Notamacropus eugenii: one gene and its partners. The protein of the gene in region 2 interacts with the protein of the main gene of each other region in a biochemical or structural test. Links are inferred from orthologs where the notes say so. Each region holds a gene or a part of one and is shown on either strand. Other genes may lie near its edges.

Evidence for each region.
Region 1: the proteins of SNTB1 (region 2) and DGKZ form a complex in vitro, tested with the Homo sapiens proteins (2 studies listed by BioGRID and IntAct, with this or other methods). The link is inferred for Notamacropus eugenii from reciprocal best matches to the Homo sapiens genes SNTB1 and DGKZ.
Region 3: the proteins of SNTB1 (region 2) and GUCY1A2 interact in a test that uses a peptide from one of them, tested with the Homo sapiens proteins (2 studies listed by IntAct, with this or other methods). The link is inferred for Notamacropus eugenii from reciprocal best matches to the Homo sapiens genes SNTB1 and GUCY1A2.
Region 4: the proteins of SNTB1 (region 2) and SLC16A7 interact in a test that uses a peptide from one of them, tested with the Homo sapiens proteins (2 studies listed by IntAct, with this or other methods). The link is inferred for Notamacropus eugenii from reciprocal best matches to the Homo sapiens genes SNTB1 and SLC16A7.

The regions. Positions count from the first base shown.
Region 1 is NC_092877.1:4,447,289-4,454,504, forward strand, and holds the start of DGKZ (diacylglycerol kinase zeta), read right to left. Parts: upstream 3,014-7,216; 5' UTR 1-3,013. UniProt on the Homo sapiens protein: Diacylglycerol kinase that converts diacylglycerol/DAG into phosphatidic acid/phosphatidate/PA and regulates the respective levels of these two bioactive lipids.
Region 2 is NC_092875.1:124,293,722-124,301,009, forward strand, and holds the start of SNTB1 (beta-1-syntrophin), read left to right. Parts: upstream 1-4,271; 5' UTR 4,272-4,512; coding exon 4,513-5,152; intron 5,153-7,288. UniProt on the Homo sapiens protein: Adapter protein that binds to and probably organizes the subcellular localization of a variety of membrane proteins. May link various receptors to the actin cytoskeleton and the dystrophin glycoprotein complex.
Region 3 is NC_092876.1:147,947,589-147,954,963, forward strand, and holds the start of GUCY1A2 (guanylate cyclase soluble subunit alpha-2), read left to right. Parts: upstream 1-4,354; 5' UTR 4,355-5,148; coding exon 5,149-5,442; intron 5,443-7,375. UniProt on the Homo sapiens protein: Has guanylyl cyclase on binding to the beta-1 subunit. Isoform 2 acts as a negative regulator of guanylyl cyclase activity as it forms non-functional heterodimers with the beta subunits.
Region 4 is NC_092874.1:235,355,642-235,363,083, reverse strand, and holds the start of SLC16A7 (monocarboxylate transporter 2), read right to left. Parts: upstream 3,045-7,442; 5' UTR 2,659-3,044; intron 1-2,658. UniProt on the Homo sapiens protein: Proton-coupled monocarboxylate symporter. Catalyzes the rapid transport across the plasma membrane of monocarboxylates such as L-lactate, pyruvate and ketone bodies, acetoacetate, beta-hydroxybutyrate and acetate.

The DNA of each region.
Region 1 (7,216 bases), on a different chromosome or scaffold from region 2:
TCAAACTCAGAATTCATTCCCTCCAACCTAGCCCTTCATCCCAGCTTCCCAAGTCCTCCTGAGAGCACCATTCTCCAACAAACAAGGTTCAGAACTTCAGCAGCACCTGGACTTCTCTCTCCCTCAGCGCACATTCCATCTGTTCCCAGGCTGCTCCTGTCCCATCCACATTCCCTTCTCCCTCAGCCACCACTCCTGTTCAGGCTTCTCTTCTGGATCTCTGCAACAGCCCCCTAAAAGCTCTCCCTGCCCCCATCTCTTCCCAAGCCAATCTATCTTGTACTCAGCTGCTGAGGTTTGATCAGGTCATCCCCAATACTCAAGACTCCAGGGGCTTCCATCTGGCCTCCTGGTCAAGGTCAGCCCCTGTTCCAGTCTTCTAACATACCATTTCCCTCCACAGACTCCAAGGTCAAGGCACACGGACCTAGTGGATGTTCTTCACTCCCAATGCTCCATCTCCTACGTCTCTCTGGGCTTCTCAACTGGGGGCAGTCCCCACTCCCACCCTGCGGCTGCTTCCAGCTCGGCCCAGATGCCATCATCTGTCTCCTGGAGGCTTTCCTCAGGCCTCTGGCTGCCAGCGTTGGAGACATCCCCTTTGAGGGTACCTTGCACGCACTTAAAATGTCCCTCAGAGACACAATTTGTATACACACATCTGTACCATTAGATCATAAACTCTTTGGAAAAGGGCTCCTCCTTTGTTCTATGTCTGGTCACTGTACAGGTTTCACAGACACTTGATGACTGACCCATGTGTCTGGCCAGCTCGCGGCTCAGCGTGGGATACTGGGGGCCGTCTCCTCCCTTCTCCTAGTTTCTGTACAGGCCTGAAGGTGACAAAGCACTTTACATTCATGATTGCATTTGCCCCTTCCTACAATCCTCTGAAGTGCTATTATTAACTCCATTTTATAGATGAGCAAACTGAGACCAATTGGGTTTTTTTCTTGACATAGTTGGTAAACACTGCAAGCAGGACTGCCCCTAGATTCAACCCTGGCTTCTCCCTACAGATTGCAGCTGTCTGAGGGCAGGGAGCACACCAGGTTTCTAATGCCAGCGCCCTGCCTGGGGTACCAATGACTGAGAGGGCCAGAGGCCTGGTGGAGCATCGAGGCCCTCATCAAAGGCAGCTCTTAGGTCCTGGCCTGTGGTCCCAGAGGTTTCCCAGGCACTTCAAGTCCAGGGGCCTTTTGTGTACCTTTGCCACCTGTCAGACTGGCAGTCCCATGCTACTATCCTCAGGCTTTCCTATGGGGTATCAGCTTTCTGCTGTCCTGTGACAGCTGTCCAGACTGGAGGAGATTAGTCACCCTGACAGACCGCCTGATGCTAGTGTCACCAGAAAACAAAGGCCACAGTCTCTGTGTGGGGAATGGGGGAGGGGGCAGACAGGCCCTTGGGCACTTTGTAAACCCTTGCTGGTCAGCTCTAGCCCTGAACACAGCACCTGACACATAGTAGGCACTTCCAAAATACTTGCTGATGGACTAAAGGGAGGGCCTGGATGGAAGGCCAATCACTGGGTGCCCAGATGCCCATCTTCCCCACCCTGCATTCCGCTGGCAACATCTTTGCTGTCATCCATCCTGTGAGCACAGGGCTCACACAGCCACAGGAGGAGGGCTAACAGCTACTCAGCAACGCTCATCCCACAGTGATGGGGCCCCTCAAAGGCTGCCTTTTCCTTAGGAGAGAGCAGGGTAGTGAGAGGCCTCCCTCACAGAACAGGGTGCTGGAGCTTCCCTCTGGTCACCACAGACAACCCTGTCCTCTGCTCAGCCGGCTCTGGATCCATTTCCTCTCTGGCCTTTTCAGCAAACCGCTCTCCAGGGACCTCTGACCAGTCTAGCCTAAGCCCTCACTGGGCTGGGATGCTGGGCAGAGCTCAGTAGAGCTCCAACGGTGCCTTAGACTTTCTTGCGTTTCTAGCTTTATTCTGCGCTGGATGCGTAAAGGTCACTGGGCTCCAAGGTTGTGGTAACCCAGACTGTGTGGGGGGCCCCACAGCCTGAAAGCATGAGGGGGAACAAATGGGCTACGCCAAAGAGCCTCAAAGACATCAATGCGGTAGGGAGGGGACATGGCCCCTTGATTCTCTACCTGGGACAGTGCAGAACCCACACCAGGGCGAGATGGGAGCCCAGCTAACCCTTACCCATGAGTCCCAAAGGCCTCGGCCCATGACCTGGCCCACCTAAGGACAGTCTGATAGCAAGGGAAGGTATGGGCAGCTTCCTCACCTCTCTCCCCAGGAGCTGGAAAAAGAAAGGCAGGGCTGGGTAGTGGGACTCCTGGGTCCTCTCTGGGACTGGCTCACTGGATAAACAACAGTTCAGAGGGGAGAGCTGCTAGGAGGCTGGAAAAACCTCAAGGTCTCTCATTCCAGAAACGAATGAATTTCCAGTCTAATATACATTTTGATCCCTGGCCAATACTGACTGGGCCTCTCAAGGAGGCTCCTGAGCTGGAAGAGGCCTAAAGGTGTCACCCAGCTTCTCCAGGAGCCTATGCCAGGTGGCTCTCATCTTAACAAGGCCAAAAGTGCTCTCTCCTATCTCCTGGGTTTTCCCACTAAAGCCAGGGTGGGAGAGGAGAAGGAAGAGGGAAAGGGAAGTGTGAATTTGAAGGGTAGTCCCAGTCCACTACATGAGGAAGGAGGTCTGGCAGCCTGGCCACCTGGGTATTTGCTCATGCCACAAAGTGCCAGCCTCCACAGCCTGTTACATACACATCGCCCCTAGTCCTGGCTACAGTGCTTCCCATGTTCCGTGCTACCCTCCAAAGCCCGGGGCAGGGCTGCCCACTAAGTAAGAAAGAGACCAAAGACCCTCCACCTGCAACTTGAGGGGGCTTCAGATCACTCAGTCCTACCACCCACTGATGCAGGAGCTCACTCTGAGCATTCTGGGTAGCAGCTGCTGCTCGAGATGAAGCCCACTCCATTGTTCTGATTCATTTCCCTACATGGAGGGCCTAAGCACAGACCAGAAGACTGACACACATTTCCCTTCCTCTTGAGGCAACTAGCCTTCTTCCAGAAGCCCCATCCCCATGGAGGAGGCATATTACATCCCCCAGGGGATGCTGGCTGTGCGCCAATGTCCAGCTGTTCAACTCCCACAAGCCTTGGGTGGAAGGCTGGGAAAGTCTGAGACGGGAGAGCAAAGACACAGCATAGGCCTCTGACATGAGAAGACTGAACCCCCAAAAGGTAAAGGAACTTGTCTAAGGTCAGAGGATGATGGAGCGGAGCTGGGATTTGGGTTGAGCTCCTCATATTCCAAAACTGCTGTTTTTCATGATGCCAGGTAAAGGCTACTAAGCCCCTGGCTGGGGAGGGGAGAAGGTCTGGGCACCGCCAAAAGAGAGGGCACAGGAGGAAGGAGGCCTCCCTTATCAGTGCCCAGAATTGGGGGGGGGGGTCATGGGGTGGAAGGGAAGGAAGGAACAGGCAGCTAACCCCAGACTGCTTTCATTAGGAAACTTCTTGCTGGGGAGCAAGCCAGCAGGCACAAGGCAGCTGGCAGAGCAACAGGATGGGTGGCAAGGCTCTGGGCAAAGGGGAAGGGAGTTGTCTGGCTGGGTTAATATTTATCCTAGGCTCTTTTGGACTCCCTGCCCAGGACCAGAGGGGCACAGAGTGCCCTCTCTTCAACACTTACAGCTAGGCTGAGGATCCCAGTCCCTTCCTGGCCACATTGTGCCCAGTGCCCCCCACCCCACCCCAAATCCCAGGTTAGGAGGCCCCACGCAGATGAGAGAGGGAGTGGGGAGGGAAGGAGAGGGAAGGGATGAGTCCCCTTTTGACCTGATCTGAAGGCAGGGAGAGCAGTAAGCAGGGGCTCCGGGTCCTGCGAGCAAGCCCTGGGGCTCCAGGCAGCAGCCCTCTCTCTGGTAAGTCCTAGTTTGGAGGCAGCAGCCCTACTCTCCGCCCCCTCGTCACCCCTTCCCCCCTCCTTCCCCCTCTCCCTTCAGCCTAAGACAGCCGTTATGAAAATAACCCCATTGGTAACCAAGTGCACTTCCTCCTGATAGGGCTGGCTCCCAGCCCCCATGCGCACACACCAGCCTCCCCTCCCTGCTCACTCACCCAGAGGGGCAGATTGGCAGGCAGACGACAGAGGCAGAAACAGACAGAGACACACACAAATACAGACAGACAGACAGACACACACACACACACAGGAGAACCTCTCCTCCCTGCTCACTCACCCAGAGGGGCAGATTGGCAGGCAGGCAGACAGAGACAGAGACAGAGAGATACAGACAGACACAGATAGACAGACAGACACACACACACACACACACACGCGCGCACACACACACGAGAACCTCTCCTCCCTCCTCACTCACCCAGAGGGGCAGATCGGCAGGCAGACAGACAGAGGCAGAAACAGACAGAGACACACACAAATACAGACAGACAGACACACACACACACACACACACACACACACACACACACACACACGAGAACCTCTCCTCCCTGCTCACTCACCCAGAGGGGCAGATCGGCAGGCAGACAGACAGGGGGATTTATGTGGTCCAAGAGAGCGGAGGGGGGCAGTGGAGTTTACAGAGGGGGGAGTGTGTGTGTGTGTGACCATATCACTATGATCATATGAGAACTTCAGGAAAATCACTGGCAGCTAAAAGAATGAGCTGAGAACTCTGCACCCAGAGTCAGGAAGACCCACCTGAGTTCACATCTCTTTAATCATTCACTTTTCTGGAAAACCAGAAAAATAATAGTACCTGCCTCCCAGGGCTATTGTGGGGACAATATGGGGTATTTATAAAGCACTTTAAAGTGACACCTCAATGTGTGCTATTAATTAGCAAGAGGTAATGAGGGTGGGGGCTGAATGAGGTCAGAAGGTAATGCAGGAGAGATGTAAAGGTGGATCAGACATGGGGAGTGAGTAGGAGGGAGGGGTCGGGGATGACACCAAAGCTTCGAGCATGGTGGATGGTGGTGCTCTCAACAAGAGGAAGCTGGGAAGAGGGGAGGAATGGGGGGCAGGGGAGGACATGTTGAGTCTGCCCCATTTCTCCCCTCCCCTGTGAGAGGGACATTCAGTTATGGGCAGCACTGGAGCTCAGAAGAAATGTTAGGGATGCTGCTGAGGACAGTGGACGAGTCTATGTGTCACACTCCAGGCTCTCGAGCACTCCAAGCAGCACTGGGAGAGTGGCCCTCAAAACATACCCTCTGCTTTCTTCCAGAAAGAGCTGGTACCATCAACCTGACATGTTTTAATTATTTTCCCATTGTATCTCTTTCCTTCCCCCCCCCACTCCCCACCATTAGATGGCAAACTTGTGGGGCAGTGTCTTAGGAAAGACTACGCCAACATTAATGAGCCACTATTAAAAAGACCATTGGACCAACTTGAAGCTGAGAGAAACCTGGACTGAAATCCAGTCCTACACTTATTAACTCTGTGACCTTGGGCAAGTTGGTGGCAAAAACCTTGGAACCTAACTTTTTTAATCTCTTTATGCGAAGGGGTGGGGAAAGAGAGAGAGACAGAGAGAGACAGAGAGAGACAGAGAGAGACAGAGAGAGACAGAGAGAGAGAGAGAGAGAGAGAGAGAGAGAGAGAGAGAGAGAGAGAGAGAGAGAGCGCGAGCGAGAGAGCACCTAGAGGACAATGCACTTCACTGGGCTGGGGTGAGATCAAATGAGAACACATGGTAATGTGTAGAAAGCCCCGGGTAAATCCTAAACACTGCTACAGAGCTTACCCTGTATCCCACAGACCTTTAGCACAGGGCTAGCTTTGCCAAAGAGCCTCACAGCTTAGAGTCTAAAAAGCCAGGCCAGCAAGCCCTGAAGCAGACAGACATTATTAAGCTAGATTGTGTGTTACACACTGTCCTAGGCCACGGGTGGCCGGGTGGGGAAGGGACAGAGATACAAAGTGGAAGTAAGAAATATTCCTTTCTTCCCAGAGTTCAGAGAAGGGAGTGGCTAAGAAACCAACCCAGGGAGCTCCAACAGGCAAGCCCAGAGGATGTGACTGAGGGAGAACTCAAAGAGAGAAAGGGAGGACTCCAAATGTCATGTCTCTACCAAGCCAGCAGGGTGACCGAGGATGGGGCCCAAGGTCCATAAAGCCATCTTTTTCCCATTGCACCCTAGGAGATGTCATGGAGCAAGCAGAGTGGAAAGAGCACTGGGCTGGGGTCACAAGATTCAACTAGTAGGGTCACTTCCCCTCTGAGACTCAGTTTCCCCATCTATAAAAAAAGATCCTACCCACCTTTCAGGGTTGTTATGAAGAAAGCACTTTGGCCTACAGGCATGAGCTATTCTGATATCAGGGGAGACCATCTCCCTTTACAATGTGGCTTCCGTTTCAGAGAGTAAAATCAGGATGGAGATGGCCTTTTTGGTCAAGTTCCCACCATCTCCAGACCCCTTGCCCTCCAATCTCAAAAGCCAAAGCTCAAAGTACCTTTGTTTCCCACCCAGAGGATCGTGTGTGTGTGTGTGAGTGTGTGTGTGTGTGTGTGCGGCAGTCACTGCTGAGGGGTGGGGGTGGAGACCTGGTATCCTATATTCCTGTACTCCCTTATCTGTGAATGTTTCAAGCCCATAGTGGAAGGCGGATTCCTTGAGAACCCCACTCTCCAGGGGCTTTCTCCCCTAGCATTACTAATGACGTCTTTGCCAAATCTAACGGCTTTTCTTGACCTCTCTCCAGCCTCTGACACCATTGACTCACATCTTTTCTTGATACTCTCCAGGTCTCCCTCTGTGACCTCACTGTCTCTTGGATTCCCTCCTATCTGACTGGTCTTTCTCGGTCTTTGCAGGATCTTCATCCAGATCGTGCCTGGGTGACCCAAAGGGCTATTGTGGGCCCTCTTCTCTCCTCCCTCCAGACTGTTTCATTGGGTGATTTCATCAGCTCCCATGGATTCAATTATCCTCTGTCTGCAGATGATTCTCACATCTCCAACGGCCTATTAGGCATCTCAAAGTCAACACATTCGAAGCTGATCTTTCCCTCTAAACGCCAAACATCCCCATTACTGCCAGGGGCACTAACCATCTTCCCCAGACTGGGGGTCATCCTCAACTCCCCACATCCCACCTCCAATCTGTGGCCAAAGCCCATCAGCCCAGACTTTTCCAACAGCCTGGGGGTTGGTCTGCATGCCCCAAGTCTCTCCCTCCTCCTGTCCCATCTTCTCCCCA
Region 2 (7,288 bases):
TTTAAATGGGATTTCTCTTTCTATCTCTTCCTATTGGGCTTTGTTAGTAATATGTTAGTAATGCAGATGATTTATGTGGGTTTATTTAATACAAAGTAATTTCATTCTATGAAATAATAGGGAGAGAGACTGGATTTGTTATTTTATTATATGTTGTTGTTCATCCTTCATTTTTTAAGAGGACAAATGACACCGCTGAGTAATATCTGTGTGTGTATGTGAATTAGATTTCAGTGAGGCAGGTTTTCCCAAAGTCATCAGCCTCACTCTCTCTTCCAGAGACATAGAAGTCCAATGACGACACAAAAGTCAGAATGACTGGTGATGGCCCAGGATGCAATGGATGGATGACCTTGGCATCTTTGATATCTGACCAAGCTCTAAGTGTTCCATGGATCCTACTTCAATTGGGCCATACTGTTTTCATCTACCCATTCTGCTGGAGGAAGTCTTCACAGTCTTGGGATAGACATCCCTTTAATTTAATATAAGAAACTTATAGATGAGGAAACTCCCTTTACCAAAACAGATCAGCACCTTCTCTTTAACATAAAGCACTACAAAGGTGAGGAAGGGAGGGAAGTGAGAGGGTAAATGATTTTCCAGGATCACAGAGCCAGTATGATTAAATGAAAAAGATAGTTTGCATGATTCCCATGCACAAGATCAATGAACCTTGGTCTTTCTGGCTCAAGGCTGGCTCTCTACTTATTAGGCCACATTTCTCACAATATTTTATAGATACTGAATAGAAACTAATTTCAACAGATGAGAGATAGCCTGGAGTGACTAGGGAACTAGCCTTCTTTCTGTCTTTAATGGATACTAGCTATGTGACCCTAAGGAAATCACTTAACCTATCAGTGTTCCAGACAAAGTTCTAAGGCAAAAAGTCAGGTTGTCAAATACAAATTTCCACTGGAAGACAAAGCTTCCTTACCAGGGAGCTTCCCATAAGGATGAAATCACACATCTGGACTAAAAAAATGAAGAGTTCCCCTAAAAGATAGAGTACTAATGGGGAAAAGGAAAGGAAAAATATTGTGGAGGAGATTTCAAATTTAGCCTTTGGGGATCAACTTTTCCTGTAACGTGGAAAAGAGGGTTGCATTTAGAGTCAGAGAACCTGGCTCCAGACCTCAGCTCATTCGCTGTGTGTGATTCTCTGAACTTAGATTCTTCTGTAAAATAAAGGGGCTAGTCTCTATGAACTGCAAAGATCTTTTCCACCTAGCAATCTATGTTCTAGCATTTTCTGACCTTGACCAACAAATCTGAACTTCTGAATGCCTTTGACAATTTTCTAAAATTTTAAGTTACAGCTGAGTCGAGGATCTTTATGGGTAGAAGAAACTTTCTACACTGATGAAATCTCCTGTCCAAAGCACCTCCACCCCCACCACCAGCCTCCCAAAAGTCATCAGACTTGAAGAAATCTGTTGTACTAAGAGGATGGGAGTTATGACTGAAGACAAAAGAGGTCAGTAATTTGAGAACATGGAGAATTTTGAGGGGAAGCGTAGATGAGGCACTGAAAGGCTACTGCAGTGGGGGATTGGGGACAGTATGAGGATAGGCATTAGCAGCATGAAGAAGCATGAGGAGTGAGGAGAATGCCAAAGAGAATCTTCACCTATTTCAAATGTTTGCCTAGGACTATCCTGGTGGCCATTAAAGGACAGAAAATGCTCTTCTTTTTCCTATTCCTCCCTCCATACTGCATGGTCTCCTGGTCTCAGAACCCAGATTTTAGAATAGCGCCATTAATACTATTGTTGTTATCCATTATGCTATTAAAGCTTAAAGCTGCATTGAGACTTTTGAGAAACCCAGTATGAAGCTCATCTATATAACAGATTAATAATAATAGAGCTTATATTTCTGTAGGGTTGTTGTGAATAAAGCATTTTAGAAATCAGAAAGACCTATATAGGGGAAGCTAGGATGTGCAGTGGATAGAGCACCAGGCCTGAAGTCAGGAAGACCTGAGTTCAAATCCAGCCTCAGACCCTTACCAGCTGTGTGGCCCTGGAAAAGTAACTTATCCCTGTTTGCCTCAGTTTTCTCATCTGCAAAACAGGCTGGAAATGGTAAACCACTCCATTATCTTTGTCAAGAAAATCTTAAGTGGAGTCACAAGGAGTCAGACATGACTGAATAACAACAACTACAAAGCACTGTACAAATGTGTTAGAGAGGCAGGATGGCAGGCCTTGTAGCAAATAATCCCAGGATTCAACTCCTGTGCCTGACACATTGGTTATGGGACACTGGGCAAGGTGCCTCACCTTTCAATGCTCTAAAGCAACACTTCTCAAATTTTTTGCTCTCAAAATCCCTTTATACTTTGAAAAAATGATTGAGGACCCTAAAGAATTTTTATCAACGTAAATATCTATTGATATCTACCTTATCTGCGATTAAAATATAAATTTTAAAAATATTTAACTCATTTAAAACAAGGACAAACCCACTACATGTTAACATAGATAATATTTTATGAAAAATAAGTATATTTTTCAAAACAAAAAATATTGAGTAAAAATGGCATTTTTTATAGATTTTTGCAAATCTCTTTAAAGTCTGGTTCAACTGAAGATGGTTAGATTCTCTAACCTGTTCTGCATTCAATCTGCTGTCATGTTTTTCCTTAAGACAATCAGGCCTCACACAGTCAAATAGTCAGGAAAAGGAAAGAGCATTTTAATAGGCAAAAAATGAATTAGTATTATCGTGAAATTAATTTTGCCCTCATAGACCTCCTGCAAGGACCTCAGGGACACTTGGGGGAGGGGGTGTCCATAAACACTTTCAGAACCACTACTCTGGGGAAGGTAATGGTGCTAGGTGCTACACACTGTGCTAAGTATTTTACAAACATTACTTCATGTGATACTGACAGCAACCCTGAGAGTTACAGTTTATTACAGTTCTGATTACCTCAGTTTCACCAGTGAGGAAACTGAGAGAAGCTGGCTACCCATGGTCCTTTATGTCAGTGGTAGGGTTGAAAAATGGAAAATGGAAATCCAGGTCTCCTATATGACTGAAATGACTCAATAACAAAACCTGATGCTGAGGGGAGCACTCTTTCCACCACAACATTGCTGCCTCTGTAATAAAAATAAAAGTAATAAATAATCTCAGTAAGATCTAAGGTTTATGCAGAATCACTTTTAAGGTTTGAAAAGTGCTATTGTGGCCTAGACTGGCAATGTACCAGTCTTTTGTAGCATTTTTCTCTATGAGAAAACATGTTCCCAATTCCAACCACTTCAAAAAACAAATCCTCCATACACTGGAGCCTGATACGCCCTAGAGAGAGAAGAAATAGGAAGGAAGTAAAGTTTGGAATGGGATTAGGGAGAAAGGACTCATAAAGCATACAAAATAAAAGAACAAAATCGGATTGAAGTCAAGGCAGGTGACTTCTCTGAGCAAACAGGGAGACAGCACAGTAATTCATGATAGCAGACGTTGGACTAAATCCATTTCCATTCCTTGGACATGACACAAGGCAAGTCCTCTGAACACGGAGAGCTTTGAGGAATTGGGTTACTATGGGGACTTCGGGTTGACCCTAAAGTCTGGATACTCAGGGTCTCCTTTTCTCCGGTTTTTTTTTTTTTCCTGAGGGTGCAAGCTACCTTCTCACTTAGCCCCGGAGTCCCCTTGTCTTTGACTTTCAAAAAAAATTCGTTAAGACGAGAAACCAACCAGAGCTCAGCAGAGAAAGGAAGGATTAGGTTTGGGCAAAGTAGTAAGAGATGGCCCTAGGTTTATTTCAGAAGGGGGATATTAGAAGGGTACGTGGCAAGCTTAGGCCACGAGAGAGGATAGCAGATGTGGCCCAACAAGGCTAGCTGGAGAGAAAAACAGCTGAGAAGACAGGAGCTGAGAGTAAAAAGTCTGTGAAGAGGAAGGGAGCCAAGGCAGAGAGGGGGCTCTTGGCACCGATTTGGGAGCGGTCGTCAGCTCAGGTCTCTGCTACGCTTAGTTGGGGAAGGAGGGGTGTAGGTGGGGTGGTGCAGCATTGGTTTGCCTTTGCTGCGGCGGCAGCGGCGGGAACTGGAACAGGTGAGCTGCGGGTGCCAGGTCCCTTCCCTGCCCTTCTCCCAGTGCCCTTTCCAGAGAAACCCTGCCCAGCTCTTTGCAGTTCGGCAGCTCCCCTCGGATTGGGGTTTTGCAATTGGCGGCAGGGTGCTTCTCCCCCCCCCCCCCCCCCCCCTCCTTCTTTTAGGTTGCTCCACCCCGCCCCGGATCCGGCGAGGGGGGAAAGCAGCAGAAGCGATTAGCTGGCGCTAGCCAACTCGTGCTTGCGGAGTGTGTCTCTGAACTCCGGGAGTGAAGTCCCGCGGCGGCGGCAGCGGCAGGCGCTGCCCCTCGGGTCTCGGGCTTCTCGCTCCCGCAGGACCCCTTGGCCTGCCCCTACCCCCTTCCCTCCAGCACACCCACCCTTCCCCACTTTTTTTTCCTTTTGCAATCACATGGTATTTTAAGAATGCTGGAAAGATGGCGGTAGCAGCAGCAGCAGCTTCGGCAGCGCCGGCTGGAGGAGGCGGAGGCCGGGGACAGCGGAGCGGGCTGCTGGAAGTTTTGGTGCGGGACCGCTGGTACAAAGTTCTGGTGAACTTGAACGAGGACTCCCTGATCCTGAGCAGCGAGGAAGGGGCCGGAGCTTACAACGGCATCGGGAGCGGCGGAACCACCAATGGCTCTTTCGGCCGGAGCAGTGGCGGCGGCGCCAGTGGCCACGGCCCCGGGGGTCTCGGGGGCGGCGGGGGCGCTGAGAGCGGGAACCAGTCCCTGAACACCTCTGTGCCGGCGGTCGGGGGCAGCCCCCAAGTGGGAGTACGCACTGCCTTCACTGACCTGCCTGACCAAGTGCCCGAGTCCATTGCCAACCAGAAGCGGGGCGTGAAGGTGCTGAAACAGGAGCTCGGGGGGCTGGGCATCAGCATCAAGGGGGGCAAAGAGAACAAGATGCCCATCCTCATCAGCAAGATTTTCAAGGGACTGGCAGCTGATCAGACCCAGGCCCTGTACGTGGGGGACGCGATCCTGTCTGTGAATGGAGCCGACCTAAGGGACGCCACCCACGACGAGGCAGTTCAGGCGCTCAAGCGAGCGGGTAAAGAGGTTCTGTTGGAAGGTAAGGGGTTAATGCCTCCTGAGACTCGCTGCGCATACAGACACAGGCATACACACAGACACATGGACACACACACACGCCAGGTGGTAAAACACACGCACTCGCTGGGGGCCGCGCCGTCTTGACAACTTTTGTGTCCTACCAGCCTCACCTCCCCATTCCATGAAGTCTGCCAGCGGCAGCGGAGAGATGACAAGCCCGGGTCACTTCAACTAGCTTTCCCGACCTGGCCTTGTAAACACTACCCTTGGGCTGGTACTACAGTAAAGGTCGGGGTCTGGCTGGGATGTGAGGGTGTGGGAGGAGTATGGTTGGAAAAGTGGAAGGAAGAGAATAATCCCAACCTCTCACATGAGAATTCCTACTCTGGCGCTTTGGGTCTAGGGATTGACTGGGCGAATTGGGAGAGACAGGGACAGACCAGGAATGTAGAATCGAGCGCATTTAGGGTTAGGGTTAGGGTTAGGATCGAAGGTCCCCGATCCCCCTCCCCCACCCCCACCCCCCCTTGCAGTTGGTGTTGGGCAAAGTCTAAGACCTTTCACTGGCTGCACGTGTGACCTGTAGAGACTGGTGATGTCAGAGACAGAGACAGAGAGAGACAGAGAAACACTTGTCAGCTAGCTTAGGCAAGGCGAGAGTTTTGCTAAGAAAATGTGGCAGTTTCGTGCAGGAGTTCGCCACTCCTTCTGCAGGGCGTCTGTCGGTCCAGTCCGGCTGGATTCTTGATTGCGCTGCGTGGAGAGCTGTGAGGTCGTTTTCTGCCCACATTTTTTTTTTCTAGGCTTTCTTACTGTAGTCATATGGTCTGGGGCTTCAATCTGCACTAGTTTTTTATCCGTGCCTGAGGTGCCTTAGAAACTACTTCGTGAGCCGATTAACCTGAACACCTCTACACCCCTCACTAGGGCTGCGTCTGAAATACCCTAGGAATTACTGTTCATTACAGGTTTGGAGATATCCAATGTTGTGAATGCGGGGGAACAGTTGCAGACCAGACAATTAATTCTTCATGCCAACTGCGCGCACATTATCCCTCCATTCTATGGAACAAAACATTCCATCTGAGACCCCGTAAAAAGCCATTTGTTGTAAGCCTGGGAGCACGGAATCTGGGTGGAGGAAGACCAGTCTGGCCAGACTCCCTGATGGCCTTGTGGTGGTGCTGCTGTCTCTCGGTGTGGAGCTGTGAGAGGAAGAGAAGCCGCGGTCGAGCCCAGCGCTGCGGGGAAATAAACTTTGCAACTTGTGACAGGTGATGCAACTCCCTGGAATATGATAGCCCACCTGATGGCCCAGAAGAAATGAATTAAAGCGACGCGGAGTTGGGTGTGGAGGTGTTTCTGTACTCTGCCGACGTACTGCTTTGTGCCTCCTGCTTCTACCGCCCTCCGCAGCTAACTCGGCACTAGTCAATTTGCTTTGGCTTGGTGATTACCATAAGTAAACAGTCAAGTTTTTCTTTGCCAAGGTGTGTTGGGGTAGGTGGGTGGGTAATAAGACCTGGTCCCAGCCAATTATAATTATGTGTGTATCTATATAATATACACATATACACAAACATACAGATACCATCCAACCCTATGTCTTTCTGGAGCCCAGTAAAATACTGAATAGAGGCTAGTAGGATCATTGACTTCAGGCTGTTACTTTAGGAACTAGCCCCATCACCTCTTCTCATTCAGTTTTCTTTTTTTTCTTTACACCCTTTTCTCTTTTTTTCACACTCCTTGGGGTCTTCCGGTTTTCTGACCAGCAATTCAGATAGTCATCTAAACAGATGCTTTGTGATGTAGCAGGCAGCACAATCTGAGTTCCAGTCTAGCCTCGGGCTCTGGCTGGTTATACGACCCCAGACTAGTCTTTCAGTGACCCTAGGAACTTCTTTCCTAGACTTAAATTGCAGAACACTAACTCAGTTACATTGATTGCAAGCATTTCCTCACTGGAGAGCTTTCTGCCCTGATGAAATTATTGGTCTGGACGAAAAAAATTATCTAGTAAAGAAGAAAACAAATTACCCTGGGGTTGAGGTCAGTGGGGTGGTCTTGGAAAGGATAATATCAAAGAAACATATGATGAGGGAAAGTGGGAACATGCCAGATAGAGAATGAGCTCACCTGGCTGTTGGGGGAG
Region 3 (7,375 bases), on a different chromosome or scaffold from region 2:
AACCTAAGCAGTCAAGGGTTAAGTAAATTGCCCAGGATCACACAGCTAGGAAGTGTCTGAAGCTGATTTTGAACTTAGGTCTTCCTAACTCCAGACCCAGAGCCCTATCCACTGGACCACTCAGTTACTTTTTTCCCCCAGTGAGATCAATGATGCATTGATTTACTGAAGTATAAAAAATGTGGTAAATAAGTTAAAAGCCATAGAAAGATCCTTCAAGTTGGTGTCATTTTTCACTTTGTATCTCAAAGACCTAGTGCAGTGCCTTGTACATGTTAAACACAATGAAAATTTATAGAAATGGATTTATATGCTCTAGCAGTAAGAAGAAATAAATGTGCTGTCTTTCTCACGTTCCTCTCTAATATGGTCAAATACTTACTCATATTCATTGACTCATAAGCCTTAACCAGAAATAAATTAGGGAATTCTGATTATGGTTACCGTCTTTGATAACATAAAGGGAATAATTGATCAGGTGGTGAAATATCACATGCAGGAAATATGTATATGACAATATTTGCATTAGGTAGAGATGGGGAAATCATCTTATCTGAAGATATAGTGAAGCTTACCATGGATAAAAACCTGAGTAGCCAACATATCTCCACAGGAAACTTCTTTAATGTTATCTTCATGTTTCCTGAGAGTTGTTAGATTTATATCAATTTTTGGATATAAATACATTTCCCCATATACTGTAGTTGTGGAAGAGCTAAGCTCTAAAAGCATCTATCCAAAGGTTGGGATTTTCTTGACAGGGACTTGGAAGAACAAAAAGGAATTAGGAAAGAGCCAGAAGTTCTGGAATATAAAAATTTCTGGCCAACAATTAATTGTAGTTTTTATTTAAAGCTGACATAGACATCAATTTCCCTCATACAAAACAAGAGCCATCTTTCTCACTTAGAGGAGGAATGGTCACCGTTTTCAATAAGGCAAGAAAGGACTTCTTTCTAAGAGAGCCCTTCCCAAATGAGGCAATGATGGTATATCAAAAAGATCTTTGAATGGGGAGCCAAATATTCTGGGTTCCAATCCAGCTACAGCCACTAAATAGCTGGGGAACTTTTGTCAAATTTTTGCTCAAATTTGCTCAAATTTGCTCAAATTTTTAAGCCTCACTTTCTGCAGCTGTGAAATAAAGGTTTCAATGTCTAAGTTTTTAAATTTTAAGTATATATTTAGATAATTATCAAGAGGCAGCTGGCATTGTGAATAGAGAGCTGGCTCTGGAGTGAGAAAGATCTGAATTTGAGTCTGGTCTCTTCACCATATTTGCTGTGTAACCCTGGACAAGTCACTTAAGGTTTCAGGCAACTTTAAAAGACTATAAATTGCAGAAATGATGCAGACCTGGACCTGCATTAATGAGGCAGTTTCTTGCTGGCAGCTTTTTATACTAATGTAGCTAGAGATCTGGTTTAATAAAATAGATATTCACTAAAGGAATAGAGTCCCCTGTTTCTACTGTAGAACCATGCTTTAAGGAAGAGTTTTCTTTACCTTCTACTATAATAAACTGATAAATTCAGAACATACTGAAGCAACTAATAAGAATTTCTGTTTAGGAAGGTTTAAGTAAGTTATTTAAATAAAAAAAAATAGAGTCCTGGATATGCATCCTCTCAATCTTTTGACTTATTGATAAGACTTTTTTTTGCTTGCTTTGAGCATTTTGATTCCTTTTTCTATTTTTACATAAAACAGGAAATTTTACTAAAAGTGGTGAGTTTTTGAAAATATTCCATTAAATGCTTCTTCACATTCTTCCCTCAGTTAGGATCTTTTACATTTTGCACATCAATAGGAATAGAAGTTGCTATATTTCCTTCACAGTTCATATATTTACAATTAGAAATTCAGCAAACTTTTCAGTCAGGTAAAATATAATAGGTGCATTCATATAATAGCTACAGAGTATAATAACAACAGCAAATAATTTGACTTCATCCCTTTTTTTTTCAATTCAGCTGGTTTGTGCATGTGCATCCACCAGTTTCACTCACAGATTCAGAGTTCTTGTTGGCAACCACTTACCCTAAAGAGAAAGACTAGCTATTTGGGCCTCTTACAATGACTAGAAGCAAGTTAGATTCATGACATTCCACTTAGTAATTTTGATTTTGAGAAAAGCACTAAGATGATTAATTAAAAAGCCCCAGTTTTCATTTTAACCATAAGGTCAATAACCATTGTCATGCTGGATCATTTGTGTCCAAAAATAATTCACTGAATAAATGTGGAAGGCACAGCCTTTCTATGTGAGTGTAAGATAACATGACAATTGAAGTTCATCACTCAGAATAAAAAAAAGGTAATTAAGGCCTCCAGGCTGCTATGTTCCAGATGATATAGCACAGCAAGAAAATTCAACAGATTTCTAAAGTTGGTATTATACTCCCTGGTGAGGTTTTTTTTCCAAGGCAGCTATTTACAACTGTTCAGTAAGGACAAAATCTGCAAACTTTTTTTTTTTTGTATTAATACCTGTTCTAACCATAGAGAAATATAGTTATGCATGATTTCCATTGGAAATAGTACAAAATTAAATGAAAAGAAAGTATGTAGCACTGCCATAATTTAATTCCATTCTATTTTTAAATTTGAAAAGGGAGAGCTTAGGAAAATTATTTCCACACTTTTAGCTCAAGACAACAGCATATTAGAGAGCAGCTGAGGTGTTGTGGTAGGAACAAGAATAAGACAATCCAGGTTGAAGTTCTTGTTTTGCCATTTGCTGATTGTGTAGCCTTGGAGAAGTCACTTAACATCCTTAAGCCCCAGGTTTCCTGTCCATAATATGGAAATAATAACACTTGTGTTATTTAGCTGACAGGTTAAACACTAGACCAAATAAGATGTATGCAAACACATTACAAGTTCCAAAAAAGCCATATGTAAATATGAGTTATTATTAGCTAAATCTGGCAAATAATGATGTTTGCCAGAAATGGTAAAATAAACATCTTTTTAATCCCTAATACTTATTTCTGGGCCTTCTGGTGAGACTTTGGTTTGCTTGTTGCTTCTAGGACAGTTGCCCCAGCTGCTGCACTCCTTCAGGGAGGACACTCACCTATTTGACTGTAGTTGAGAACACTTTTCTTCACAGTCACTCGGATCAAGGTCAGAGGAGGTCAAAGTTTTTCAGGGAGAAAGGGAAAGCACCGTTGGACAGGTGCTTAATGACCTGCTTGTTTGCAGTGAGAAGATTTCCGATGAAGCGGGTGCATAACAAAGTGTGAAATGATCAGTTAAATAACAGTGAAGATGTTATCTTTCTGTGTTGCATTTACAGGCAAATGTAAAGAGATTTTACCCGTGGAGTAAAAAAAGGGGTGAGTGACCAGAGAACTCTACCTCCCTGGCCTCTTACTTCCGCCACCTAGGTGCCAGGGAACGCTGTGGAACTATGTTAGAGCTTCTCTCAGTCATCAGGGAAATCTGCGGCAGGTAGAAAATGGAGCTGTCCAGCACTTATTCAGAGCCTGAGAGTCCCTGCAACTCAGCTACAGGGCTCTTTTCCTGAATAATTTCGTCACCCAAGCTTAGGGCCCCGGTTTTGGCTCCATACCTACCCGGGCTCTTCCTCCAGTAGGACTAAGCGTCATCTGGGGAACAGTCTAGTCTCCGGCACAGGTTCCTTTCGGGAGTTGGGTCAACTTGCTTGTTCCTTTCTCCCTGCCCCTGGGGTTTCCCAATTTTAGGGGAGGCAAGTGACTACTGCGAATGTGGAGGTATCTTAAACGGAATAACAGCTTTTCCTTGTGCTTCTGCACTCACCTGTTAAGTGTGGCAGGAGGACGGGAGAAAGGGCAAAGATGGAATCAAATGTCCACTCACTTCCCAACCACCTTGTCCCCATCTAACTTTAATCCCACGCTAAATACTCTTCATTTGGCCCTAAGAGAAGTGTCTTCCAAGAGTCTTTTCAGGTCCTCACACTCAACCAGAGGGAATTCATCCACTGGGGCTTTCTTTCTGACATCTCGAAGTGGGAGGGAGATTGCATCAGAGGTTTGCTACAGTGACTGACCACCTATCTCCGTTTTACCTTCAACCCCCTCCCCCCATTACTTCATTCCATGCCCGTTCCAAGAGTTAACTCTACTCCAGGCAACAGCCTCCCCATACGCGGGAATCCACGGATTTGGGAATGGTAGAGTCAAGAGAAAATTGGGTGTGGGGTCATTTTATATCCCTTTTATCTTGAGTTCTGCACCCCGCCCCCTCGTAACCCCTTTCCCAGACTATCCAGCGGGGAGGGGAAAGGAGGAAAGCAGAGTTAAGCATCGGGGGGTTGGGGGGAGTGTCCTCATTGCTTCTGAAATGTGGCGACAAGCTAGGGAAAGACTCCAAATGAGTCTGATGGGGACACGTGATACGGGCGGAGGGAGGGGGGAGAGAGAAGAAGGGAGGGATGGGGGTGGGGAATGGAGGAGGAGGAGATGATAAAAAGAGAAGGAAGGGAGAGAGTAAGAAGAGAGAAGGGAGGAGAAAGAAGGAAAAGACGGGAGGGGAAACAGAAAAAGCAAGGGAGACAGAGGGGTAGCAGAAGCGTCTGCTTTCAAAATCACAAGGTTCCCCCAACCTCCTCCCGCCCCTTCTCTCCCACACGCACACATACACAGGAGCGCGCGCATACACACACATACACACACACACACACACACACACACACTCACACACTCACACACACACACTCACACACACCCTCACACTCACCCACCGCCCGCCCGCCCCCCTGCCTGAAAGCGCAGCGCAGCCGGGGAAGAAGATGCGCTGAGGCTGGAGGCAGCAGCGGCCGTGCTGGCGGCAGCGGAGCCGCGGCGGAGGCGGGAGCCCGGGCAGCCGGCGCCACAGCCGGAGCCGAGGGACTCCGGGGGAAGGTGACCAGGAAGCCCGAAGTTCCCGCCATGAGCAGCCGGTTCGCGGGGCTCCGCGGCCCCAGGAGTTCCTACCCGTCTGAGCCCGCTGGCAGCTCCGCGCGGCCGCGGCACCTCTAGTTGTTCTGCCAACCCTGCTCCCGGTCCCCGGCGCCACCCGGAGCCTCCGCCGCCGCCACTGCCACCCGCGCCGCCGCCGCGCTCCCGACACGCTTCTGCCCAGCGCCTTGGCCATCGCCGCGGAGGCAGCAGGAGCAGCATGTCTCGGAGGAAGATTTCTTCCGAGTCCTTCAGCTCCTTGGGGTCGGACTATCTGGAGACCAGCCCGGAGGAGGAGAGCGAATGTCCCCTATCCAAGCTCTGCTGGAACGGCAGCCGGAGCCCTCCCGGCCCTCAGGAGCCCGAGGCAGTCGCTACTGCCAGGGCTGCCACGGCCACTGCCACGGCTGCGGCCACTGCCACGGCGACCGCAGGGGCTAGGCGTGCACAGCGCCGGAGACGGGTCAACCTGGATTCTCTGGGCGAAAGCATCAGCCGCCTGACGGCGCCCACGGTGAGCGCCTGGCAGCAGAGGGGTGGGGGGCGGGGGAAAAGGGAGGGAGGTGGGCACAGGGGAAGTGGGGAAAGTTGGCTGGGGCTGGGGTCAAGGGGTGGATGAAGCGCAACGGGACAAACTTGGTCACTGGAGGAGGCATCGGGACCTTTCACCCTGACGCACTTCTTTGGTCACCTTTGCATCGGTCTCCATCCCTCCTCATTGAACAGCTCCTGATTTTGAAAAGATGGAGTGATATGGGACTCGGGGAACATGATCATCGTCTCTCATTAGGCTCTTGGGCTATATTTTTGTACCCCTTTTGAAATCTCTCACCCCAAGAGTTTGGTTCTCCTGCTCACCTCCTGTCACTTCACTAACATTCCAGGGCATCCACTGTTTTATCACCCCCTAAACTTTTTGAGCTTTTCTTTAACTAGTTTTTTCATCCTAGCCTTCATTCTCCTTCCGTTACTCACTTAATTTCCCTATGGTTAAACATCTCTTTGTTAACATTCCCTTTGTTAAATATTCCTCTCCTGAAAACCTTTTTTACTACTCTTTGTCATCTTATCTGCCAGTAGACTAACCTTCTGTTTTCTGAATTTCACACCTATAATTCAGGTTGCCTTATTCCCCTAGATCATTACTAACTTCCCATCAAATTACTTTTAAGAGTTGCCTCTTGTCCTGGAAACCTCTTATTAACCTATCCATATCTCTGCCTACCTTTCCAGCTCTCATCTGGTTGGAGACTCGGTGAGGCATCTTTTTCACTCCTTGTTGGTCCCATTTCTGGTTCATCCCCCAAATTCTTCCGATTCATTTTATGTCTTTTCTCTCCCTCATTCATTTCACTTTCATTCCTTTCATTCTCTTATGTCTTTCCCCCATGTCTCCCTGGATACGTACCATAGTTCCCTATTTTCATATTCCTCTTTCATCTCAAATTTACATCACATCCCCTGGTCCTTGAAATTCTTAAAAAATCAATTCAGCACTTATTAAGAGTTTTCTTCCTTGGTCAGGGTCTTTTTCCTTCTGAGTTTACCAACCCTTATCCATCTTTTCTTATGGGGAGACACTCTAGATCATTGTCTCCTGAGTTGTATAGTTTCTCCTACTGTGTCCATTCTGTTGTAGACTCTGAAAGAGATAGATAGATAGGGAGATTTTACATGTTCATATATATATGTGTGTGTGTGTGTGTGTATGTGTGTATATATATATATATCTTTATGATGAAAGAGAGAGAGAGATATATCACCATTCTGTTTCCTTGAGCTCCTTGAATGCTCTATTCAGTCTCTCCTCCCTTTTTCTCCCTAATATCTGGCTCATTGTCACCTTGGCCACCAGGCTTCTGACTCAAAAGAACTTCTCTCTATTGCCCAAGTACTTGCAGTTGGTTTAGAAGGCTCCTGAATGTCCATAATAAATCTGAAAACAATTTGACTGCATCCCTTTGGTAGGATGGGCAGCTCTAGGATTTGGATAACTGGTCTCTGTAGTGGAGCATTGGGGAATCAGGGTTCCATAGGTTGTCTAGATTGGTCAGGAGTCCAGGAGTTTCTGGGAATTCATTGTGGAATCTAAGCAGTGGGAAATATTGAAGAACTATTAGAAACTTTTATTTAGAATCTATGAAAATCACTCCCCCCTCCTTACCCTGTTGTTTTTCTCTTTCTCTTAATTGAACTTCTACTTCTTAATGGAAAAGCTCAGGCATAAAATTTAAGCAAGGTTATTTTCTCCTCCAGAAAGGATTGAATGAAGTGTGTTCTCAAATAGGAACATCAGCTTGGTAGTGCACAGCCTTGGGGGGCAATGTTATGTCACAAATCACAAAGTGGATGCCCTGAGAAAAGAGAAAAAAAGCCTAAGACACACATATAGCAACATGTACTTCCTTGATTTATGCTAGTACAAGGAGGGGGACAAGAGCGGCATT
Region 4 (7,442 bases), on a different chromosome or scaffold from region 2:
TAAGAGTCCACCTCTCTAAAGCTAACCATTTTGTGTACTAATTCTTTTTTAAACTTTACTTACAAAGGATGTAGAGTGGAACTTTTTTTAAGAAGTACTGAACTAGGCATCTGAAAATCTTGTTTCAAATAGCAGTTTCCTTGTTTAATAAATCTTTATGTGACCACGGATCACATATAATTTAACCCTCCAAGACTCAGGTTCTTTCCCTGTAAAATAGGAATTATAATACATATACTGTGTACTTGGAAGATATATTAAAAAATCCTAATTCTTAGAGTGCTATATAAATATAAGTTATTATTACCACTGCTAATTTCCTGCAATGATTTTTAGGATATATATCAATTTGAGATAAGGGGAAAGAGGATGAAAATTCAGTAGCATAAGAGGCAGCATCATTTAGTAAACATCAAATTGCATTAGTAATCAGGGAACCTCATTTTAATCCTGTTTTTATGCATCACTGAATTATATAGCACTAATCAGGTGTTCTCTATCAAACTGACTCTTCTGTAAAACGAATATAATATTTACCTCTCCTTCTCTCTCTCTCTCAAGGTGTTTTGGTTCTGTTTTTGTTTAGGATTAGGTTGGAGATAATGTGTGATTCCCATATTAAAGTTCCAGCTTCCCTGCAAAAGGTGGGTCTGGTAAAATCATACCAAACTCATCTAAATCCCTAGGGTACGACTTGGCATAATAAAAGTAGGGAGAGTGTTTTACCCATTCTAAGTAATGTTAGCTGAATTGAACTGAATCTGGAAGGAAGATGCATAACTTGAGGTTATTACCTTGTGAAAATTTACTCTTTTGAGTCAGGATTAGGTTACAGAGGGAAGTTAAAGAATCCCCTTTTCCAGAAGCTATTTTCAAATGCCTTTTGGGGTTAATAATATGACTGAGTATAGTCCTACCTTAGAGGCAGAGGACTGGACTAATTGGCTAACTGAATTCATTTGACTTGTTCTCATTCCGTATTTGTCCTAGTGTCTGATGTCTCAATGACACAGCAAATCCAACTCAACATGCCTCTTAACAAGTTTGCTGTCTTCTGAACTTGGTGGTTGGGCTGATAACCACAAGGTTTCCCAGTCTAACTGCCAGGAAAAGGGCATCCAGAGTCCCACTCTCCCTCTTTCCCAACCTCTGCTCTCATGTCCTCATCATCCCTTCTCCGCTAACTCCCATGGGCCGCTTCCTATTGGCCAGCCCGAGGGAGGGGTCCATGAGATAATAACCTACAGCTAAACTCATTGCTTGTTGTGCACTCCCGCCCTTGGCCTAGCCTAGCCCTGCCTCTAGAGCCAGGAAGGGCAGGCAGATAGTGAGTGTAGGAAGGCGGGAGACGGAACAATCTTCCAGTCTTTCCTCATTTGCCCTCTGTTCCATCCTCCACCCCCTTCAGTGCAAGCACCAAATCCCCGTCCCAGTCTTAACGGAAAAAGGCGGCCATCGGAATGACTCGGCGTACTTGTGCCTGTGCCAGCCAGGGCCAAGGCACCCAATATCCCCTTTGGCGGAGCACAGACGAGACAGACTTGGGGGGAGGAAGGGGGAGGAGGCAATAGGCCTGGCGACAGTCGCCTGAGAGATGAGCACACTCGCACGTGAGAGGCAATGCCACCTGGCCGGGACCCGGGGGCAGCCAGCTCGGCACAGCCGGCCCCAGAGCAGCGCAGCGCGTGGTCCTAGTTGGCAGGAGTCGGCGGGAGCCAGCCCTTCCCTGCATTAGCTACTGCGGCAGCTGCTGGGGTCCATCTCAGCATTCATTTCCCCTCCTCTCCGTGCCCCTCTCTAGCCCTCCAGCCCATTGACTGAGCCTCTTTCATCCCGGGCACACACCTTCTATCCACCTCCCCTATCCCTCATTGCCATTCTCCAGTAGAGGCAGAGAAAAGAGACCATCCAAGACTATCTCATTCTCAGACGCCCTCCTCGCCCCAATCAACTGAGTCTTTGCTGAAAATGAACCCCCACCCCCGTGACCACCACCCCTCCTCCCCTTTGCTGCACCAGCGCCATCCTCGTGAGCAGTTGCCCTTGCTGCCTATGTCCGGGTTTCTGCGCTAAGATGCTTGTGAGATGCAAGTAGGCGATACACAGTGTCTAGCTGGGGACTGGGAAACAACGCCGCGAGTCCTGGAGCGAGAGGGCTAGGGAATCTCCTGTGCAAAATACCCCACAACTCCACCACCATCCCCAGTCAAGAAGCGATCCCAGGCCCTGTTCTTGCATCAGATACGCGTCCACAAGAGCACAACCAAGACTGGCAGGAGTTCTTGAATGGGACCCTCCACCCCCCCCATTTCCCTTTGCCTCGCAAGCGCGCCCATTCAAACAATGTTGAGGCTGAGACCCCCCCATGCTGGGTGTGAGCGTGCCCAACACACACACACACACACACACACACACACACACACACACACACACTCCTCTGGGGGCAGCTTCAGCTTTTTGTCTATATATGGACTCTCCTCCCAGCACTCCAGTACAATGTATGTTATATCGTGCACGCAATGGGCACTCTTAGCACACACGCGCTCAGCCCTTCTCCTTAAGGGCATCTACGAGCCCCGGAGGTCTCCGTTCTCATCCTCCTCTTTCTCCTTCTCCTCCTCCTCCTCCACCTCCCTGTGCCACCCGGTGTGTACTTACTTTATACCTGGTCTCTAGCTCGGGATGAGTGGGTGGGCGCTCGGCTCTGTGCGTGCCCCCCCGCCGCAGCCGGTTCTTTTCGCTGTCACAGGGTGAATGGATTTATTTATTTATTTATTTCCCTTGACGTGTCCTCGCCAGCCGCAGCCAGAGGAGGAGGAGGAGGCGGCGAAGGCTGGGAGGGGAGGTGGAGGACTGATGAATGCCCTTGTGTACGCCTCCTTGCGTGTGTGTGTGTGTGTGTGTGTGTGTGTGTGTGTGTGTGTGTGTGTGTGTGTGTGTGTGTGTGTGGAAGGGAGGGGAAAGGAGGAAGGGCAGGCAGCTGGAGGGAGGTAGAGGGAAAGAGGAAGGAAGAGAGGCTTCATGGGCCAGCCGAGCTACAGTGTAAAAGCTTCCGACTAGCGCCCCAAACCTGCCCTGACTCACTGAGCATGCCCAGCTCAAGTCATGCAGACTTTCCATGGACTGAGGGCATTCGCTCCCGCTTTGTCTAGATTTTAGTGGTGACCTGAGAGTGAATCCGGAGGGAGTCCCAAGGCAGGTAGAGAGATCACTTAGAGCAGCCTCAACCTGCTTGGTGTACAGCGTGGGGGACAGGTGTATTGTGGCACCCGCTAGACAGCTAGGTGAATAAGGCAAGGACATTAAGACAGTAAAATATGCAGTCTGAATGGGAAAGAGGATGGAGGATAGCTATCCTGGACCCTGAGGGGCAAAAGAGTTCTCCTTTTCCTGAAGAGGGAATTAGCCGTTATTTGGTCACTGGATTCTTCAGGCACCCAACCAAATCATTCTAGTGGAGGGCAATGGAATAGAGCTGGAAGAAAATAAAATACAGGAAGAAATGGAAGTTTATAAAAGTTTCCCTTCATGTGATTCTGAGGTCACCAAATGACAGGATTTTTCCTAAAGGTTTTTTTTTTTTTGGAGTGGGGGAATGAGGGGTCTAAGTCTGTGACTGAAATGGTGTATATGAAAATTCCCTCTCCTAAGGAAGAACAGAGACTAATTTGTAACTTTTAAGTTTAAAGTTCTCGAGGAGTAGTGAGAGGGTTAAGCGACTTAATACACAGCCAATGTGTGTCAGAAACAAGACTTGAACTCAGATCTCCCTAACTACAAAAGTGGGCGGCTGTCTCCTATGCCATTCTTGCTGCTGCCCAAACCTTATGAAAGTAAGACATTCAGTTAACTGGAAAATGAATAATTATAAGAATAATAACTATTATTTACATTTTTTGTTTAGTTCAAAAGCAATCCCCATGCTTTTCAATCACCTTTCCCCCCCAATGAAATAACTTTCTGTAGAATTTCTCCTGACTGAAGGAAAGATAGATTAGAAAAGATAGAAATTGAAAGGACAAATATAATTTTCTACAACTAAGAAAGTCAGGCCTTTGTGTCTTTAATATAAAATTGATCCTTAAAGTTGTTCAGATGACAAAATATGGGACTTTAATTAAGAATGTAGTTTTCCTACCAATTCCTTTCGAAGAATGAGTGGTTTTTTAAACTGCTTTACAACTGTTCATCATGCCCTTAAAATAAAACTTTGGATCGGCTTTGCTTCTGGTTTGTTTCCAAGAGTTCAGAAGGCATCTTCTCTCAGAAAGAGTACTTTGGAAAAGCAAATAAATCAATAAATGAATGACCAGACAAATAAATCAATAGATAACTAAGCTAGAATTGGGAAAACAACTACAAAAAAAGAATTAGGGAATGCAGTCCTTTTAAATAGGATTGTCTATGCAGTAAGTTCTCAAGTCTAAGACTTCTTTATAAGAAGACTGAAGGGTAACAGCAGTTGTTTTTCATGGAAATACTGTCCAAGAACACTATGTTTTCTTAGAAAACAAGAGGACCACTAGAATGTCGGGATGTGCTTCCTAAACATCAGCACAGTAATGCAAAGAACTTGCAAAGTCAACTGCATGTACATGTGTATGTATGTGTGTAAATGTATATATTTATGTGTAAGTATACATCTATGTACAACACAGATGGATATACACATATACATAAACATGGATATATGTATGTATAGATACATATAATAACCTAATATTTATAGAATGCTTGCTAGGTGCCAAGCACTGAGTTAAGTGCTTTATAATTTTTATTTCATTTGGTCCTCAGTAACTTTGGAAGATAAGTGCTATTCACCCTCGTTTTGCTGGTACCAATACTAAGGCAGAGGTCAATGTGGCTTGTAAGATTGTATGACCTGGCCTAAGTAGATAGCCCTAAGAAAGGTACCTCATAGATAAGGACAACTTGGAGAGGGCTTTGCTACTTTTTTCCCTCAATGGTAAATTATTACATTGAAGCAAATATAAACCATTAAATATTTAACAATTTTTAAATTTGTTTTTACCGTATTTGTCTAACAGTTCAGTTTATAATTTAACAGCATCTAGATTGAAAGATAAGTTACTTTTCTAATAGCATTTCTGACACAATGATCTCTCAAATTTTATAATATATGAAGAACTTTAGAAACACAATAATAATGCACATGATATCATGGATTTAAAATATGAACAAATTTATACCCAGATGGTGATATCAATTCAATTGAATGCATTTCCAAATTATCTCACATAGAAAATCATTCATTTTATTACTTTTAGTGTGTTATATCAATTATATTAAAGGCCAACAGAGAATTCTTACATTTACTAACATTTATATACTGCTTGTTATGTGCCAAGCACTATGCTAAGCATTTAAAATCATGTGATCCTGACTAGAAAAATAGGAGGTGGGTGTTAGGATTTTTCCCCTTTATAGATTAGGAAACTGAGGTAAACATAAAGTAATGAGCTTAAGAGCACACAGATTTTACACTAGATTCTGATTTACCACAATTATCTTAGTAAGAGACCGTATCTCACTGAAAATTAGACTATATGATATTTTAATTTCAGCACAAATTTTGACCAAATCGTCTCAATTTCCCCAAAGACCCTCTCTTTCCACTTAGCATTTGTAAAAAAAACAAAGTCATAGTCGCACTTTTTCTTTCTTTGAAATGTCCCAGAGATTGACTTCCAGGAGCCATGATATTGCAGTAAGCAATAAATCACTGTTACTCTCCCATTTTCACCTCCAAACAACCATAAAATAGTGCCCCAAAACAAATCCTGGAACAGCAAAACCAGCTAAAAGATGGGTAAAGCAATCTTTTAGCCCAAGAAACTTGGAAGATTGGCAACAAAAGTCCATCTCAATCAGATAAAAGGAGAATACATTCCAGAACAGGAATCATCAAACCAGTGGGAGATCTTGAGCCCCAGTGTGATGGAGTAGGCAAACACTAGCACAAGAACACCTCTCTGTCCCTGCATGCCTTAGCATAGCAAGGAGAACCAGCAGACTCCAGCTCCAAGAAGCATAATCCTCTGGGAAAACAGACATTCTCCAGAAGGCATACCTCCATGTGCCTCAGTGTAGCACCAAGGAAATGTAAAAACACATTTCTAGGCCTCAGCACATACAGGACACCACCAATAGGATCCCAGTTCAGCATCAAGTAAACTACTAGAACCCTACAGCCTTCAGTAGCACCATCTATCCACAAGAGAAGAGGGTCCCCATGGGTCTCTGGGCAACATCAACACAACACCAGGTAAACAGCAAGGGCCAGCAGGCCCTGGCCCATGAAACTTGAGACAGTGCCCCTTTCACCCCAAGAAAAGAGTTCAAATTTAAAAGAACAAAATTAAAGGGCCAAAAACAAGAGCAAAAAAATCCAAACCCAACAAAAAAGAATCTGACCATAGAAAATTATAGTGACAGGGAAGAGTAAAACACAAACTCAGAAGAGAACAACAATGTTAAAATACCTATGGGCAAAACCACAAAGGAAAATGGGAAGTGATCTCAAGTCCAGAAGGAACTCATAGAAGATATCAAAAAGGAGTTTCAAAATTATATTAGAGGCAGAAGAAAATTTGTTAAAGGAAATGAGAGTGATGTAACAGAATTATTGACAAAAGAGTCTACAGCTTGGAAAACTGCTTAAAAACAGAACCAGACAAATGTAAAAGGAGATGAAAATCCACTGAAGAAAACAACTCCTTAAAAAGTACAATTGACCAAATGGAAAAGAAAGTACAAAAGTTAACTGAGGAAAACAATGCATTAAAAGTTAAAATTGGACAAGCAGAAGCTAATGACTCTCTGAGCTATCAAGAACCAATTAGGCAAATTCAAAAGAATGAAAGATAGAAGAAAATGTAAAATGTCTCATGGGAAAAAACAAGTGACCTGGAAAATAGATCCAGGCAATATAATATCAGAATCATTGGACTACCTGAAGCCATAATCACAAAGAGGACTTGGACAGCATCTTTCAAGAAATTACCAAGGAAAATTGCCCTGAGGTCCTGGAACCAGAGGGCAAAAGAGGTATTGAAAGAATCTATTGATTACCTCAGGAAAGAAATCCCCCAAAAAAGTTCCAAGGAACTTTGGAGCCAAATTTCAGAACTATCAGATCAAAGAAAAAATACTACATTAGGGAATGCAGTAACAGAAAGTAACAATCCAAATGTCAGGGAGTCTCAATCAGGATTAAACATGATGAGAAAGAGGAGTACACTTGGTGCAGAAGAAAGAGAGGTAGAATGGGGTAAATTATTTCACAAGAAGAGACGCAAAAGACATATTACAGTAGAGGGTGTAGACCCCTCCCCAAACCACTTTGAGCACCCAAGACCTGATAAAGGTCTCAAACCTGAATTGGTCAATCAGGAGAGACATTCTGGTGTGCTCTCAGCTTA